Ovis aries: one gene and its partners. The protein of the gene in region 3 interacts with the protein of the main gene of each other region in a biochemical or structural test. Links are inferred from orthologs where the notes say so. Each region holds a gene or a part of one and is shown on either strand. Other genes may lie near its edges. The genes, in order: FBXO21, RB1, EID1, NR0B2 and EP300.

Region 1 (3,516 bases), on a different chromosome or scaffold from region 3:
TCACTTTCTCCAGGATCTAAAAAGCATGCAGGGAAGCTGAGACAGGAGTTCCTGCTATCAGAAAAATACTAAAGCACCCCCCCTAGTGGTAGGAAAAATTACAAACACGCAAAATGCTGTAGAGCCTATTAAAATACTGATGGAAAACATCTTTTAATGCTGCTGGCTAAAACTATTTGAGGGTGGCACACACATATGTGGCTTATAACTCACTCTTCTGTGGAGAGCAAAGAGAAAGGCATTCATTAATGGGCTCTGCCCAGATTACCAGGATCAATGCAGCCAAAGGTTGAAAATTTAGAAGATGAAAGTTTAAAAATAATTTAATGCAAATGTATTAACTCATATATGTTCAAAAATATATTTAAATAAGTGTTTTTAAAATGTAGCCTCTCAAGATCACTCCCTGGCTAAATGTGGGCTAACCTGAGCATAAAATTGTTCCAAATGATTATAACACATTGACTAAACAAAAAATCCAGCAATCCTTGCGAGGAGGCGGGAAGGAGAGAGAAAGGAGACAGCAAGCGAAAGGAGAGGAGAGAGGTGGCGGTGGAGAGGAAAGCAAGAGGAGGCAAAGCTCTGCTTCACTAGAGGGCACACTCACAGCAGAAAATCACCATCTTACAACTTTCATATCATGATTTAGGAAGGAAGAGCCAACAGGAGCTAAAACAGACATAAGGACAAAGGTCATCACTGGGGAACAGGTTATACCCAGGACTGGGTCATAGTTTGACCCCATGGATTTCTTGTTAACTGCAGATGGAACACTATCCCTTACAGGGTGTCACCGTCTTGGCCAAGTGACCAAACTCCGCCTCCCTGACAGTGGACATGGAACCCCACGGCCTCTGGATGAGACGCAGCGTGAAACACACAGCACGCGAGAGCAAGCTCACCAGCCAAAAACCCCAACTCCATCTAACACAACCTGAGATTAACTTCTGGTTTACAGACAATACGCCAAGAAACAGTGAGACAAATCCAGACTGGTAAGACAATTTGTAAGCCAACTGATCCGGACTCTTCAAAAAAGTGAAAGTCATGTAAAAAGCGGGGAAAGATGAGACTGAGGAACTGTTCTTTACCAAGAGAGAACAGAGACATAACAACCAAACACAACCATTAAGGACGCATAGGAGTGAAGGCCAGGCCTGTGAAGAACCCTGAGGAGAGCGCCCCCCAGGGCAGGGCGGGCCGGCCTCTGGGGGCTATGACAGAGCTCTTCCTCAGCGCTGAATGCCGGAGCCCAGCACCCCCGGGCACACACGTGCTGGGCAAATGCAGACCGCAGGCCAGTAAAGTACTAGCAGCATCACACAGGGATGCCCACGCTCAGTCCCAAGAGTTTCCTGCAGGTCCCAGCATCTAACCTTAAAAAGGGCGATTTGCTACCTTTACCTGTGATCCTTCGATCTCAGTTTTAGAGAGTGTGAAACTGATAAGCAGATACTACATTTATAAAACAACAATGTCGTTACAGTATCCTTGCAGGGAGCCTTACAGCACATGCTGGCCCCAGATATGATTAGGATGCATCCCTGAATCGCTGGGACACTGGACAAATTCAGAACACCTTGAAACCAAACACCCAGCTTTACCTACTCTAAAAAGCCTGTTTCAAAGTTAATATCGCTGTTTCTAGACACCCAAATATCAGATACTACAAGTCTTCATAACAACCCCGTGTAATGGGCAATGACCGGATAAGGTGCGGGCGCAGACACGGCCCCAAGAGCTGACAGTGTCCTCTGTTCTCGTGATGCGCTCCATGACGTGCAGTCTGAAATGCGCACTGAGTGATTGGTGGGGGAGCAAACCGGCCATGAATCATTCAGCAATTCCCAAATAACTTGATTGCTAAAATTCGTAGGATTTTTTTTTCTGACACAGCTTCTTATGTTAAATAAAACCACTGTCAATATCTCCGTCTGACATGGGGTACACGCTGACCCCTCTCATAACTCCCCTAGTGCTGATGGAGATTAGGTGACCTCTGGTCTCAATAAAGGGAAGTTCTCTTTTATAAGATCCTCTCTCATATTCTGATGAATTAACAGTAATTAACATGAGCCCTTTTCTAGTCTTGTTGGCACTTCTGAGATTTTTATACATCTAACATTTCTATTACTGGATTTACCAGAACATAATACTGACTTAGGTCAAACCTTATGTTTTAGGTGAGATGCAAAAAGGTTCAGCATGATGGTTAGGCAGAAGGCTCTTTGCCAAGCTGCCTGTGTTCGTACTCTGTAAAATTCACACATCTCAACATGCTTCAATTTCCTAGCGTATCAAACGCGTATGACGACAACAATGACGGCAATCTAGAGCTCTCAGAGAAGCTCACACACATCGGAAGGCTGCTGTCACAGAGCAGCACCGCAAAGCATTCGTGTTAATTTTTATGAATAAAAGGGACAATGTGGATGCCTTGACAGGCAGGCATGCAATAAACTCATCCCATTAAACGGAGAGGCAAAGACGACGAGGGCCCTGGGTGCGCACCTGTCAGGGCAGGCAGTGGCCCCTAACACCTGCCAAGCACCTACCCACTGACTCCCCGCTGCTCTCAGAGCCAGAGCTGTGGCCTGCAGTTCCCACGACGGCCACTGGGGGTGTAGCTCTCCCAAGCACCACTCTGCTGGCTGCCAGATTCAGGGTGCAGGGCGGCTCCCCCGCAGAGCCCATTCCGTGCCCTCCAGTCCAGGCAGGCAGTATGGGCAGGGCAAAGACTGGCCCTCCCTGCCTGGAGGGAGCCAAAGGCAGTGGCTAGGAAACAGGACTTTCAGAAACTAGGGCTGGCAGAGGCAATGACCGATCAGAACAGAAGTGGGCAACAGCTTGGAACACGGGTGTGGTGGTGACTAGGGGCGAAGACCCCGGGGCAGTGACCAGCTAACTGGTCGATATGGCTGCAAAAATACATACCCACCTATGTTTAGCTGAGTATCAGCCCTGATGAGGTTGATGGCTGTGTGACAACTGCTGACTCTCAAACCGACCACCTCTGCCCGCAGTATCCGAGTGCTCAAACGTGTGTCTGAGGTACAGACAGAGCCCGCCACTCACCCTGGGCGGCGTACCGACAGGACCCGTCCTCCACCAGGACGTTGTAAAAGGGCTGATGGTGGCCGTGAGGCAGGCTGTGGACGTTCATATTCCGGATCCACTCGTGGCCCATCATGCAGGTGGGGTCCCAGCCGTAGATGACACAGTTATAGCCGTACCTGATCAACACAAGAGCAGCCACACGTCAGCTTCCTGATGGGGGAGCGGGACACAGAGGCGATGGCGTGGCTTCTCCGAGGCTCACGTTCTTACAGATCTACCTGCCTTCACTCTACGCTGAATCAATTTCACTCCTGACCTCTTTAAGAACCCCTCTTATTGACAAGCTCACTCTATCTCGTTGCCGCTGCTGTTCAGTTGCTAAGTCATGCCCGACTCTTTGTGACCCCACAGACTGCAGCAAGCCAGGTTTCCCTGTCCTTCACTGCCTTTCAGAGTTTG
Region 2 (3,516 bases), on a different chromosome or scaffold from region 3:
TATTTGGGCAAATCTGCTTATAAACCAGTGGATCTCACTGAAGTGTTAAGTAACCTCCTGCTTTTGTTTTTGCTGTAGCCCCCTACCTTGTCACCGATTCCTCACATTCCTCGAAGCCCTTACAAGTTTTCTAGTTCACCTTTACGGATTCCTGGGGGGAACATCTATATATCACCCCTAAAGAACCCATATAAAATTTCAGAAGGTCTGCCTACACCGACAAAAATGACTCCAAGATCAAGGTTTGTGTTTTCTTTTTAGGAAAGCGGTAACAAATGAGAGGGGTTTTTTTTCTTTTTTAATCCAAGCATAAAACCATAAAGCTTTCTTTATTTAGCTCTAGTCCCTAATTTCCTAATTTATATTAAGTGCCATGATAAAAATAAAAATCGGAGGTGTTGGGGGCGAGACAATCTGTTTACTTAGATGGGTTTGCAAATTTACTCATCAACTTTCCTGGCTTCTTGGGTCTTTTATAAACAATCTGAGTACTAGTTTGATCCTAAGTTTCAGATCACTCTCAGAGTTTTTTAAGTAGCCACCCTGCTAAACAAAGTAGATTCCTTTTGCTAAGAATTTTTATTCTAGAATTTATTGAATGTCCTGTGAACTCTTTCTGTGGTTCTGTTCATCTTGCTTATGAAAATGTAGATGACTGATTAAATGTAGATGATGGTAAATGAAGTCTTTAGAAGTCCATCCCTACTTCTGCCTGCGGCCTCCTTGTATTACCTTGGGCAGGTCTCTGCTTCAGAAGGCTGCTGTGGCTCAGGTAAATGATGAGTGTGAAGCTGTTTTAAATTCTTAGATGAAAGACTCCGTGCACCTACAAATCATTATGTTATCTTCTGCATTCAACAGTGGGTGCTCTCTGGCTTTGAAGTACTTCAGCTGACTTATTATATGCTATCATGGGCTATTTGAATCTGACTTTATTTGAATAGTGGAGGCAGATTAATTAGTAAAGTTAATGTAGTCTCATCTCAGAAATTGTTAGCCCATATAGTTGCACTTAATGGGCAAGAAAAACAAACAAGAAGAAGGGGATATATTAATCCTGTGAAAACAGTGTAGTGTGTTTACTTATATAAGCAATGCCCACTCATAAAAATTTCAAACTGTACAGTAAAGGGAAAAGTAGAAAATAACTGGCAAATGATATAAATGCTCCCATGTGCCCCTGTGTTATTTTCTATATATTTAGTGTTTTTATGGTTGAGTATCTATGTGCTGATATCTACAATTTACATTTTAAGCTGCTGAGGTGCATACCATGTCTAATTTATACATTGCTACAGGAAAATGTATACTTAGGTAAATTTTTAATGATGATAATTAACCCATATTATGCTGATAATGATAGCTACTTGCTGATCTTAGTTAATTCACTTCAGGGTTGGAGTCCTTTAGCAAAAAAGTCACATTCTGAAAATCCTGATCAGCTATTAAGAGAGCATCTTAACACTCTCTGTATTCACCATATTTTGGTAAATTATATAGAATGATGGCTACTTATCAAAGAATTGGAGAACAATAAAATCCATATATCTGTTGATTCCGTGTGCATATGATCACATCTTTGTCATATCAGGCTAATGTTCTTCAGCTTTATTATCAAATGCATAAATTATATGTTTCAAACAGGGACAAACTAAGAGATTTCTGATTCTAAGATATGTGTTAAATGTTGTTTTAGTTGCTAAGTCATGTCCGACTGTTTTGTGACGCCATGGACTGTAGCTCACCAGGCTCCTCTGTCCATGGGATTTCCTAGACAAGTATACTATAGTGGATTGCCGTTTCCTTCACCAGAAGATCTTCCCAGCCCAGGGATCAAACCTGCGTCTCCTGCATTGGCAGACAGATTCTTTGTCATAGAGACACCTGGGAAGCCCACATGTTAAACCTTTACCATATATCAGTATAGATCCTAAATAGAATTCAGATTATCATTTATACCATATATAACTTGGTTTTACCAAATATAACTTGACTTTTTAATGAGAAAATGTGAAATAAATTTGAATTGTTTCCTTACTCATTGATTTATGAAGAGTTAAGTATGAGTAAACTTAAAATTTTCTTTTACCCTCTTTCCTTGTGAGCAATGGCAAAATATATTCTTGTAGACATGCAGTTCTTGCTTTAAAAATCTAAGGAATGAGCTTAGTGTGTGACTAGACTAGCACTACCAAAATTAGCCTTTAATAAGTATAATCTGTCAGTGGTTCTAGGGGTAGAAGAAACCTTTGATTTGGTCTTCCTGTGAGTTCAGAATGACGTGTGTATGTTCATCTCTGCATAGTTGTATATGATTTGCATTACTAATTTGTATTTTATATTAACTTGACAGAATCTTAGTATCAATCGGTGAATCATTTGGGGTGAGTATTTTTTCTGTGAATTACTATAGCATGATACCATAATTATAAAAGAATTTGAAATTTTCTGTAATTGAATTTATAAATGCTACTATTCAAGTACCTCATTCAAGCATGTTGCATAAAATTGAGAAGATATATATATATCAGATTTATTTTCAAATCAGGTTTAATTTTAAATCATATTCATAATTGGTGTATTTCAAAACTGCTTTCTAAACACCTTTGAGATTATATGTGTATATACATTAATGTATATACATACAAATATGTATGTGCATTATATAGTCTCAAAGGAATGTTTTAAAAAACAGCTTTGAATTTCACTAATTGGGAGTATGATTTAAAGTACTCTAAAATGTAGCCACCACGCCCACTTGTCTCCTTCTGTACATATACACATTTTTGCTTTTCCTTCCTCTCCAACTTCTAGGATATTCTTCCCTGGTAAATTGATTAGGAATTGGTTACATGCCCCAGTGTAAGTGACAGGCTGTGTGGTGGTCTTTGTTGCAGAGGAATCTAGGGGGAAAGTTAAGCTTTGAAATGGTTATTCTAGTCTGGGAGCCCACTACTCTTAGCTGGCCTTTCCTTACCATCACTAATTCACAGTCCTATATTCAGTGAGCATTACTGAATGTTTCATCCCACCACCCCCACCTATATTTGTTATTTATTGCTGCATAACAAACCACCCCCAGACTTAGGCATTTAAACCTTTTGAAATCTCATTCCTTGTGGCTCACTGAGCAGGCCTGGCTCAGCCGGGTCCAGGGTCTATCTGTACGAGGCTGCGGTCAGCATGTCAGCTGGATCTGCAGTTATCTCCAGGTTCACCTGAAGGACCACCTTTCTCAGTCAGACTCACTTGTATGGCTGTTGGCCGATCCTTGATGGCTGTTGGCTCAAGCCAACATCAGTTCCTTGACACCCGGGCTTCTCCCTCGGGTGGCTGGCTACTCACAACAGAGAGGAGGGAGGGGAAGAGGGAGATAAGCAAAATTGAAGTCAGTCTTCTTGTCATATTGGAAGTGACTTGCCATCACTTTTGCTGCATTATTTTATCAGAAGCAGGACAACACTAGGTCCAGCCCCACATTCAAGGAGACAATTAGTGAGAGCCATTTTAGTGTCT
Region 3 (3,607 bases):
CTGCCAAGCTTTGTCTGAATTATGATCATCCTTGTCAGCCCTGTATTATACAGAAAAGAACCCCCTTCCCTAAAAGACAGGATGACCGCAACATAAGTAAGGCTCTGAGTTGTCCTATTATAGTGGATGTATCCTTTACTGCCATAATGCAGCAAAAACATCTGGTACATTTTTACTAATCTTAAGACATGCTGGTATACTCAGTTTCACTGGGCACAGCCTTCTAATTATATTATTCATAGAACTTCAGCATCTTACTAACCACCATGAGATGCTTACTGATTTGGCAGGTTTTCCCAGCTTGGCAAATTCTCTTATAGGAATTTACTAAGTTTAATTTACACCAATTAATTTGTAATCCGGTATTTGAAGCTGGAGCACTTTCCCTTATATAAGTCATTAAATTTAAATCATAAAATGGTTGCAATCACACAATCAAACAGTATAGCAAATAAAAAGTAGAATTAGAGAAAGTATTATACAATTAGACAAACAAATAAAATACAGAGAACAAGAAATCTTTATTATCTTGAATGCTGGTGCATAACCAAAAGCAAGCTTAATTAGAGGAGGAGACAGAGGGAAACTTCAGATAGTGAGGTGGATTTCTGGGTAGAAAACCCTTTAAAACTTTCAAGGGTTGTTCATAGTGTCTTTTTTTAGATGTAGGGCTTTCCTTTTACTGGACAATGTTCATTTAACAGTTCTTACATTATGAAGTTCAACCAGAGTCTTTTGCCTGTAAAGTTAAATGAAAAAAAGAGAGCAAGTGAAACAGAAAATTCTCTAGTATATACAGATGTTTCAAGAGTTTGTGTTCTTTGTACCTTCATGTACATTTTACAGTCTAAATTTGAAACTTTATTAAGGACGTCTTAAGTTTTGACTTTAAAATATGTTCAAGGCAATGAATTTTCTTGAATTAAAGATTACAGTAGCTTTAAAAATGATCAAGATATATGTACAAACAAAATCTCAGTTGTTCTTGGAAACACATTTTAATAGCACACAAGACACATACTTCTTTTGGGTCTAGATTATCCTTTGAGATACTGAAGAATACTCGGTAGATTTATTTTACACTTAAAATTTAGCCTTAACCACAGCTCGGATAGATCACAAAATTGAATCTTTAAAGTTTTCTCAATATGCTTTCAGTCCAAATAACTCAAAGACATCTTATGTCCTAAAATGGATACATCAGTTACTTTTTCTCATATAATTATCATCAGTGGGCTCTGGTACTGGCAGTCTGTCTTGGTCATAATTTATTCTTGCAAAGCCATTCCTTACAGTGAAACATGAAAAGATTATCTTCCTCAATGCAAGGAAATTACTCTGAATAAACAACAAAGTCAAAGCCATAAGTGTCTCTGGACATTCTTGAAAACAGGTTTCAACAGTACTAAGATACTCTTCTTTAACAATTTTCTTTCTTTTTCATAACTGTGCAGTCACTACCTTATTCTACTCAGCAAAAAAAAAAAAATTTTTTTTGGGGGGGGAAGATTAAGTTTTTCATTGGCACAGAACTATTTGGAATGAACTCAAAAGACAGTGGAATGTTGGGTCTCTCCTCAAGCAGCTTCCTCCTCTCTTAACAGCATTTAACTACTCTCTGTCAATGATCTCATCACAGCCGAGTTCTTCGGTCAGACGATTGACAACCATAAGTGAAAAAAGCTCTTCGATAAAAGCCAATTGATCAAACGGGGTCTTCTCATAATGCATCTGAAACCCGCCATCCAGAGCTGCTTCTCTGGCTCTGGAGGTTCTCAGAAACATCTTGTTGGCTTCTTCAAGGGCCGCTGAAACTCTGTAGCCCGCACCACTGAGCGGCTCCTCTTCAGGATAGTCATAGTCGTCCTCCCAGACATCGAATTCCTCGCCCTCGTCCTCGCTCTCGAAATCAGGGCCCGCGATCTGGCCTGGCTGCTCCCCAGGGCTGGGCCGGCTAGCGAGGCCTCGGGGCCCCTGTGGCTCCGCCATTGGCTGGGTCGCCTCCTCCTCCATTGGGCCTTCCTCCTCCAGTTGTGGCGGGGCCCCGGCGCGGGAGGGGTTCGGGGATAGCTCCCGGCTCCCGCCGCCTACCTCCATATGCGGAAGGTCACTCTCACCAGGAATCACATCCATCTGCAGATCGTTGCTCTCCTCATAGAGCTCGGACAGCTCGTTCATTTCAGACATAGTGCAAGCAGCGCAACCTCCCCACAATTCGTTCGTTTTCCACAAGCTCGGATATACGCGGGCGTGCGGTTGTGCGCTTGCGCAAGCGCCGTGCGCTTGCGTGACCTCGTGCGTGTGCGCGACCCCCAAACACCGCCTCCTGCTCAGAGCGCGGCTCTGGTTATCGACAGGGGAGCCTGGCGTGCTGCGATTCATGGAGTCGCAAAGAGTAGGACACGACTGAGCGACTGAACTGAACTGAGTGCCCCCCATCGCCCTCTGGGGGACATTCCCAGTGCTCGGTGGTCTGCGCTCCGTGCGTTCGAATTTCAGACCTAGGGCTGTGCATTGCTTGGCACCTTACCTAACCGTTCTGCTGCTTATGAGGCTATAAACTTGAAAATACTCTATATGCCTTCTGTAAGACCCCTTACAGAAGGTGGGAAAGATTGAGGGCGAGAGGAGAAGGGGACGACAGAGGATGAGATGGTTGGATGGCATCACCGACTCAATGGACATGAGTTCGAGTAAACTCCGGGAGTTGATGATGGACAGGGAGGCCTGGCGTGCTGCAGTCCAGGGGTCGCAAAGAGTCGGACACCACTGAGCGACTGAACTGAACTGAAGACCCCTTAATCTTCCTCCCCTCTCGCCCCTCTCCTTTCTCGCTCTCCTCTTTCTGCCGCTCCTCTTACCTCCATCCCCAGGCAGTCGCTTCTGCTCCAAGGTTTTAACTAAGTTTATCTCTGCGCTGCTGCTGCTAAGTCGCTTCAGTCGTGTCCGACTCTGTGTGACCCCATGGACTGCAGACTACCAGGCTCCTCCGTCCATGGGATTTGCCAGGCAAGAGTACTGGAGTGCGTTGCCATTCCCTTCTCCTATCTCTTCGCTAATAACCGCTAAATCTGCACCTGAAAACCACAAGGTGTTCTTAGCCATACATCAGCATATTAAGAACTCATCCATCCCTCTCTTCTATTTTTCTCATTTAAAAAATGTTAAATCACAAATAAGCATATTATTGGTGTTCTTTAAAAAATATGCAGAGAAGAAATACATGGGCCCATTTTTGTCCCCCGCAGGAGGTGACTTTACACTTAATTTGCTGTGTGTTCTGTAAGTCTTTTCCCGTGCATTTATGTGAATCTTTTAAGTCTCATGGAAAAATCTTATATTTTTAACGTCTTACATAATTGCCTTCAACTTATAAAAAAGCAAAAACCCCCTAAATCTTGTAGATTTAGCGGTTAGTATACACAGACATGTTTTCATAGTATTCTGTTTGTGTAGCTATACTGTAGTTGACTTAACTATGCACAAAGAATTTTCCTTTTTTTTTTTTTTGTATTGTATGGGTAAATGAATATCTTCGTGTGCCAATACTTCTCTCTAGTAAAAACCTAGAAGCGGAAAGGTGGAATTACAAGTTATGCAAACTTTA
Region 4 (4,118 bases), on a different chromosome or scaffold from region 3:
GTAACCCCATGGCCTGCAGCACGCCAGGTCTCCTGTCCATCACCAACTCCTGGAGTTTATTCAAACTCATGTCCATTGGGTCGGTGATGCCACAGGGGAAGTGAATGATCCCACACGACAGAGATTCCCGGAAACTTTCAATTTGGAAATGGGCTGCTTCATTTTCCTTATTGGTGACTCTCAGTGAGGTGAGAGGGAGGCTGGGGCAGAAGCAGAGGGAGGGATCAGCAGGGGATTTGAGGAACAGGGAGGGATACTCCTACCCCTTGATATAAGGGCAAGGATGTGTGGGGTCCTGAACTGATACTAACTCCTGGATCAGATCCATGTAAAATAAATCTCACTGCCAGAAATGAAATCAGCATCCCACCCTGAAAAATCAAAACTCCAGTTTCCTGAGTTCTGGCTTGTGTGTCACTTGTAGCTCCTTCCTCTTGGGCTCCTCTGGCGGGCCGGGGGACTCTGGAGATGAACCAGTCCCTTCCACGTGTACAAACTACACTGTCAGGTTCCAAGGGTGTCACACCTTTTATTACAAAAGCCAATAACTTAAGTCAGTTCCGTACAAAGTCAGTAGAACTCCTGGCCCAACAGCGGACACTTCTACCCTGCCCCAGGAGGGGAGAGGAGTCTTGGCCCAGAGGCTCTGGAACCACCAAGGGCTGGCCAGACAGCTGGAGCACTGTGTCCAAACTGAGGAGGGTCAAGGTGGGATGTGGCTGAGTGAGGGCCCACCTGATTGGGCTGGAGCCAGCTGCTCTGGGGAAGCCTCTGGGAGCACTGGGTCACCCAGGGGACAGCCCGGCCAAATCAGCGCTGCCAGCCTCCACCCAGGCCCTGCTTGGGCTGGAGCAGGTCAGCTCAGCAGAAGCATGTCTTCAAGGAGGTCCGCGATGTCAACGTCTCCAATGACGGGGCGAAGGAAGAGATCTCCAAGCAGGCTGGGTGGAATGGACTTGAGGGTGGAGGCCATGAGGAGGACACGCGCCAGGCGGCTTTGGCCTGCTGGGCACCAGGGCTCCAGGACCTCCCACAGTGCCTGGTGCGCCTCCTGCTGCAGGTGCCCGATGTGGGAGGAGGCGTAGAGACCTGGCACTTCTGCGGACAGAGAAGGCAAAGATGGCTGCTGAGTGGCCTACTCCAATACCACAGGGCAAGACTGGCCCAAGACCCAAGGCCACCAGCTTGGCGCCTTTGAGTCCCCATCACTACCTCCTTCATTTATTTATTTTTCACTTCATTTATCCATCCTTCATGGAGACGCAGGATAGAGCCATGGGTAAGACCCTGGGGGGCCTGGCTTTTAATCCCACACTGTCACTTATTAGCTGTGTGCCCTTGGGGAAATTTACTCAATCTCTGTGCCTTGGGTTCCTCGTTGATAAAACTGGGACAAATAATAGTACCCATCTCCTAGGCTTGTTATGAGGTTTAAATGAGCTAGTGTATATAAAACCTTTAGAACTCGACCTAACATACAGTAAATGTAATGCGAGTGTTTGCTATTACTATAATGAATTACTCTGATCATGCATTCCTTGGGGGCATTTTGATGATTTCTCATCTAAGCGCCTTTCAGATCACAAAGAAGTCTTCCTCTATTTGTTGTCCTGGCTGAAATTTACGAAGACTCCTCCCTCTTCCCCCTCCCCACCCCCATTTTCATTTCTCTTCTCTACGTGGTCTTTCTGAAACCGCAGTTTCATCTTCAGAACTTCTCCATGCAGTCTGCTCATGAAGGCGTGACCGAGGCATAGTCTGCCCACCCTCCCCTCCCCTTCTGCCCTAAGGGTCAGGGAAATTTCTTAGCAGAGCAGTAAGGACTAGATTTTGACATCAGTAGACCTGAGTCCCCATTCTTTCTCTTCCCCCACCTGGCTATGTGACTTTTCGCAAGTCGCTTTGCCTCTCTGAGCTTGTTTTGCAAGATGGCTATTTGGAGATAATCAGGACCCAGAGGGATTTCAGTTGTTAAGTCCTTAGAATGCGTCTTTCCCTGGCTGAGCCCTGCCCCCCTCCAGCCTTGGCCCTCATCCAGGAGTGTCTGGGATCTCACCAGGGTTGAAGAGGACAGTCCCTTTCAGGTAGGCATACTCCTTGGGGCCCAGCTCCAGACTCCAGAAGGACTCCAGGCAGCACTGTAGCCACTGCACCTCAGCTAGCGAGGGCTGGGGCCGATCGGGCCGCTGGCTGCTGCCTGCCCCGCTGCTGGGCTTCTCCAGCAGGATCTTCTTGAGTATGCTAGGCATCGGGACCTCGGCCACCTGGAAGGTCACAGTGTCTTGGGCCAACCCCAGCAGGAAGAGGGGCCCCCAGCAGCCCCGCAGCAGCTGCCGCCGATCCTGGGAGGGCAGCTGGCAGAAAGACGGCAGGTTCCTGAGGAAGGCCAGCGTCTTGGCCAGAACATCCAAGGCCTCCTGGCAGGTGCGATGGGGCGTACACAGCTGAACAGGCCGGTGCTGCCTGCACAGGCAGCGGCCGCGGGCTGGGGCCACGGAGGGCCAGTCCCTGACGCTGGGGCTCAGAAGTGTATACAGAATGGTCGGGCGGCCTGCAGCACCCTGGCACGGGCAGGACCCTGGCTGGCTGGAGCTCATGGTCGAGGATCTGCTTTGCCTTCCTGCTGGCTCTCCCACCCTCGGCTTGGTGCTGTGGGTGCTATTTATATCCCCAAATGGGGGAGGGAGGGGGGAACCGCCCAACAACCTTGACTCCAAAAGTCATGTTCATTGAAAAAAAAAAAAAGAAACTCACACTGACCCTGGCAGGACCCAGGGGGAAGTGGTGGGGGAGGGAGACTTGGGAGCTCCACGTGGCCCCGATATCACTTCAGTCAATGAAGCAGCGGGTGCAGGGCACAGGGCCGCCTGCCCGCTGGCCCCGCTGCCCTTTATCAGATGATTCAAGTGGATAAACAGGGTCATTAACCCAGGCTGTACCAGGGCACCAAGGCCTCAGGTGCACAATCAGCAGGTGGCCGTGGCAGGTGTCCCCATTGGTGCCTGCAGGACTCGCGCTCAGCAGGGGAGCCAGCCCCAGAGCCGACGAGCCTTGAACGCAGGGCCCAACCTGGAAGCGCCTTATCACTTGCTTGTTTGCCTAACCTTGAGGCCCTGCTCCTGTTGTTAGTAAGGAACAGGCTGCAGGGAAGGGAGCCAGGATCCTGGGGGTGCTGGGAGGACTTTGCCTGGCTGTGCAGTCTGGAGGAAGGCCCCCTTCCTCTAACCCCAAGTTCTGGGTGGCGGAGAGGCCTGCAAAAATAAGGTCCTTAAGAACTCTCTCTCCCCAGCCTGGACCTCTTGAAGGGCCCTTGTCTGCTGAGAAGCCCTGGCAGAATGATGATGAAATACTACTGTTTATTGAGCACCTACTATGCGCCAGGCACTTTCCACTCTAATATTCAGAGCTTCCTTCTGAGGCAAAATGCTTGCTTTTTGAGACTCAAAGAAGTCAAGTGACTTGTCCAAGTTCACATCACTAAAAAGAGACAGAGCCTAGATCAGTCTGACTCCAAAATCCTTGCTTGTACCCCTGGACCCACTGGCCCAGTTGTGCAGCCAGAGCTGGTGACGACCTGGGCCCCCACCTCACTGTTGTAGACGTTGCCCACTTACGATCTGGACAGAAACGTTGCTCGGCCGCCAGCTGCATGGCTCCTCTGTCCCCAGGCAGCTGTCTCGGATGCTGGGGCCTGGGCAGTGAATGCTGGTGGCAAGGTCCTTGGCTATGTCAGGTTTGTGGACCTTGGCAAGGCCAGCTTGGCAAGCCTTCTGCTGACACACTGTTGGGCAACTGTCGCCACCCCTGACATCCTCTCCTGGCTCTCTGTCTTCCTAGTTGTGTGACTGTGGGCTGAACCCCAAATCTCTGCGGGCCTCAGAGCTTCACTCAGAATAGTGCCTGCCTGCAGGGCTATGCTGTGAGGACAAAGTGGTGTCAAATTCCAAGCAGTTTCTGGCATACTGGAGGAGGACTTTGCTCCCCCCTTCCCCTGACTAAGGAACAAAGGCAAATAGGCCCACAGACAGGCACGCATCTTTCATGCAATTAAAATCGCATAATAATCTTTTTTTAAAAAGCACAAGTAGATTTTGATAAATTATAATTAGGTTGATCAC
Region 5 (3,516 bases), on a different chromosome or scaffold from region 3:
TCTCAGGTACCTGGAATCCCCCAGCCCTCCCCGCCAAGGGACCCACCTCACACACGGTGCAATGCCAGCGAGTCTCCACGTGGTGCTTGCACTCGTTGCAGGTGTAGACAAAGCGGTCCTGGCTCTGGGTGTGCAGCTCCACCAGCATGCACATGGTGGACCACTGGGCTCTTCGCAGTGATGAGAACTCCAGGTGCTTGTCCCTTGCGAGGGTGAGAAAGGCATCCCGCCCATCCATCAGGTCACAGGGGATGAGGGGGTCGGGGTCAACAATGGGAGGCAGGGAGTTGGCGGCAGGGCCAGCGATGAGACGGATCACAAAGAAGACCTGCAACACAGACAGTCCCCTCTGGACTCTGGAACTGAGCACTGCAGGCAGCTGGCCAGGCTCTGCACCCGGGGGCCGGGAGGCCTGGCTTCCTTCTGTGGCCACCCTGCAAGGCTCCACGACACAGCCCGCGTTCTCCTGCTTCATGCATTTGTTCTCTTTTTTGAAACTGACTACAGTGGGCCTAAAACATCTGCATCTTATCTCATTCAGTAATTCTTCAAAAGAAGAATGGTCAAACACAGGGCCATACAGGGGACATTCTACTTCAAAGAGGTCAACTTTTAAGATGCAATCCATGGTTTAACCTGACTCTAATTATAAGGAAATAAATCAGAAAAACCCAAACGGATAGATATTCTACAAAGCAATTGGCCTGGAGTCTTCACAAAATGCCTATGTCATTAAAGAAAATAAAGCCAGGAACTGAGACATGGCAACTCAACATGCAGCAGAGGAGCAGATGGGAGGTGGTGACAGGGGAGAGGTTTCCTGAGTGTGAAGTCACAGCACGCTTATGCAGAGCGTGTCCTCTGTCTTAGAAGGAGCTTACTGAAATAAAATGTAGTAGAACGTTAACTGATGAATCTAGCTGAAAGCAACAGGAGGGCATCTTCTGTACTTTCCTGTAAGTTTGGAAGGAAAAAAAATTGGTAGGGGTGGGAAGAATAAAAAAGCAAAATCTTTTTCCTTGCTACAGAAACAAAAAATTTTTGTTTAAAAACACAACACAACCACTGATTCCCATAACCACTGGTTTAAAGGCTGCAAGAGGAAGCTGCTATTTCTGTAATAATAAAATGTAAAAGGGAACCTTCAAGAGATCAAGAACTTGTAACTGCTGTATTGCCCACTATAACCTGTCCATTTTTTTGAGGCTGAAAATCTATGCAAACTGGCAATAATATTTGTTATATATCTGGGCAGCAATGTTGGCATAGTACAAGAGTCTAGAAAAAGAACACAGTGACTTTCTTGGTGGTCCAGTGGTTAACACTGCTCTGCCACTGCAAGGGCATGGGTTCGGCCCCGGGTGGGGGTGGGAGACGGGACATGGGACTAAGATTGCACACGCCACGAACAACACAGGACAAGAGCATCCACACTGAGTAAAGACATTCAAAGCCAGAGTTAAAAGCTCAAGGGGGGACTGTGATACTGGGTTTGCTACTGTGGCTCAAAGCAAGCACTCACAGAGTGAGGAGGAGTGTCCTGAAAATGTGATCACACACAGGGAAGTACTGTATCTAACAAGTGGGGGCAGATCAAACCACCTGGTGACTCCCTATGGCCAACCTCTAATAACAGCCATCGTGACTGACTGCTGAATGTCACCCTAGAGCTAAAACAATACCTAAATTTAATAAAATGATTACATTAGATTCTAACTCCTAACAGGAGACTACTACCCACATATTCTTCAGATGATGTATCTACAACTGAAGTCATACCTATTACAACATACTCTAAGGGCCTTTCCTAATCGCTGTTATGACAGAGTTCCACACCTAAAATCAAACCATCAGTTCCCTCTCCACATTAATAGCCTCTTCCTGTAAGAACCTGATGTCTGAACATGGAGATAAACAGATGTTTAAACAAACCAACATGACCCTTCAAAAGGCCTCATCTTACCAACAATAATGTTGAAGGGGAAAAAACCCCCAACATACTCAGTTCTATTCCCAAACAACAAATATCCAATAATGAAATAATTCCAAGTTTTAACTTTGCTGTGAAGGCATTCATGAATGCATATATCAAAGTTTAACTTTTCTTCAGTCCTCTCCATTTGCCAATTCCCTTTCAGTATGGCAAAACATTCATTAGTTTCGCCAAAGTTCCATTAGAAACTTGAATGGCCAAATAGAGTTCTAAGGGGCTTTGGTATAAAGCAAAAGCACAAAGATACCCAAAAGATATCCAACAAGCCCATCTTCTGAACAATGGACAGAAACACAAACATAAAACGGTTACAAACAATAGGGTCAGACAAACTGCTTACACTTCTCCCAACACCATATAGCTTTGTAACAGCTACAGATCTAAGTAAGATACCTTACCATTTCATGTTCTCACTACCCTCTTTTTGCTTTCTTCTCCCTCAAATGATTTTCTTTTTTTTTTTCCTAAGGGAAAGTGAAGTCGCTCAGTCGTGTCCAACTCTTTGCGACCCCATGGACTGTAGTCTACCAGGCTCCTCCGTCCATGGGATTTTCCAGGCAAAGGTACTGGAGGGGGTTGCCATTTCCTTCTCCAGTATGATTTTCTTCCTTCTGAGTTTCAAATGATCTGGTGCTCACATCATAAATACCAACTATGGTGGGCAGTTCTGGAGGACCCTGGCCTTGGTTTTCCTACTCTGGGGGCTGTTCTCTTACCTCTTTGTGCTTCTCCATGGTGGCATACAACTTCTGTGAGAGGTCGTTGGATACGTTGGGCATGCCTGGCTTCTTCTTATTGCCCCGACTCAGGCTGCTCTTGTTTTTGCTAGTTTTTTTGTTGTTTTTCTTTTTAGCGTTTTTGCTGTCACCCTTTGTCACCTGCAGGTTAGCATGAGAGAACAAGAAATGTTAGTAACTCTTTGCTAAGAGACTGTTTACAAGTTTAGAACAGTTATTTGTTAGTAACTGTTAAGAACAAGTTTCTGATGGAGCAATAGATCATAACCTTCTAACAGCTGCTCTCTCTTCATTGCTCCTCTTTCTTTTTAAAGCTGTAAACTAAGGTTTACTAATGTTTTTGCATTAATTTTCTCCCACTGAAAAATCTCTCTGCTGATCTCTCTTCATTAGACAACAGCAGCCTTAGGTCTCTGGCCAGCGGAAGCTGCGGACCAGGAGACACCTCAGGTGGAGCCAGCCCAAACCAAATCTGAGGATGGAGAGGAGTGAGCAGCAGGTAGTGAAGTGTGCATGGGAGTAGGGAGCCAAAGGCCCTGGTTCTATTTCCTTCGACTCACTTTCCAAAATTTCATGGACTATTTAAAAAAAACAAAAAACACCTTGAAAAACATTCAATCAAGGAGTCTAAACTGCAGGCTATAAAGAATTCTTAGACTAAGGGTGATTTCAGTAGTTCAGACTCAGCAAGGGCAACCGACATATACTGCAGGGAAATAAATGACAAGGAAACCTTGTCATCTGACCTTGTCAGATGACCTGCTATAAGGCAGCTTCTGTAGGGGG

What was found.
Region 1: of the proteins of EID1 (region 3) and FBXO21, one has a biochemical effect on the other in vitro, tested with the Homo sapiens proteins (2 studies listed by BioGRID, with this or other methods). The link is inferred for Ovis aries from reciprocal best matches to the Homo sapiens genes EID1 and FBXO21.
Region 2: the proteins of EID1 (region 3) and RB1 form a complex in vitro, tested with the Homo sapiens proteins (5 studies listed by BioGRID). The link is inferred for Ovis aries from reciprocal best matches to the Homo sapiens genes EID1 and RB1.
Region 4: the proteins of EID1 (region 3) and NR0B2 form a complex in vitro, tested with the Homo sapiens proteins (3 studies listed by BioGRID). The link is inferred for Ovis aries from reciprocal best matches to the Homo sapiens genes EID1 and NR0B2.
Region 5: the proteins of EID1 (region 3) and EP300 form a complex in vitro, tested with the Homo sapiens proteins (3 studies listed by BioGRID). The link is inferred for Ovis aries from reciprocal best matches to the Homo sapiens genes EID1 and EP300.

What each region holds. Positions count from the first base shown.
Region 1 is NC_056070.1:57,955,898-57,959,413, reverse strand, and holds part of FBXO21 (F-box only protein 21), read right to left. Parts: intron 3,234-3,516; coding exon 3,076-3,233; intron 1-3,075. UniProt on the Homo sapiens protein: Substrate-recognition component of the SCF (SKP1-CUL1-F-box protein)-type E3 ubiquitin ligase complex.
Region 2 is NC_056063.1:18,567,346-18,570,861, forward strand, and holds part of RB1 (retinoblastoma-associated protein), read left to right. Parts: intron 1-78; coding exon 79-242; intron 243-2,353; coding exon 2,354-2,384; intron 2,385-3,516. UniProt on the Homo sapiens protein: Tumor suppressor that is a key regulator of the G1/S transition of the cell cycle. The hypophosphorylated form binds transcription regulators of the E2F family, preventing transcription of E2F-responsive genes.
Region 3 is NC_056060.1:59,480,017-59,483,623, forward strand, and holds EID1 (EP300-interacting inhibitor of differentiation 1), read right to left. Parts: upstream 2,231-3,607; 5' UTR 2,188-2,230; coding exon 1,612-2,187; 3' UTR 503-1,611; downstream 1-502. UniProt on the Homo sapiens protein: Interacts with RB1 and EP300 and acts as a repressor of MYOD1 transactivation. Inhibits EP300 and CBP histone acetyltransferase activity.
Region 4 is NC_056055.1:240,027,497-240,031,614, reverse strand, and holds NR0B2 (nuclear receptor subfamily 0 group B member 2), read right to left. Parts: upstream 2,635-4,118; 5' UTR 2,598-2,634; coding exon 2,057-2,597; intron 1,099-2,056; coding exon 857-1,098; 3' UTR 510-856; downstream 1-509. UniProt on the Homo sapiens protein: Transcriptional regulator that acts as a negative regulator of receptor-dependent signaling pathways. Specifically inhibits transactivation of the nuclear receptor with which it interacts.
Region 5 is NC_056056.1:218,165,869-218,169,384, reverse strand, and holds part of EP300 (histone acetyltransferase p300), read right to left. Parts: intron 2,872-3,516; coding exon 2,710-2,871; intron 329-2,709; coding exon 47-328; intron 1-46. UniProt on the Homo sapiens protein: Functions as a histone acetyltransferase and regulates transcription via chromatin remodeling. Acetylates all four core histones in nucleosomes. Histone acetylation gives an epigenetic tag for transcriptional activation.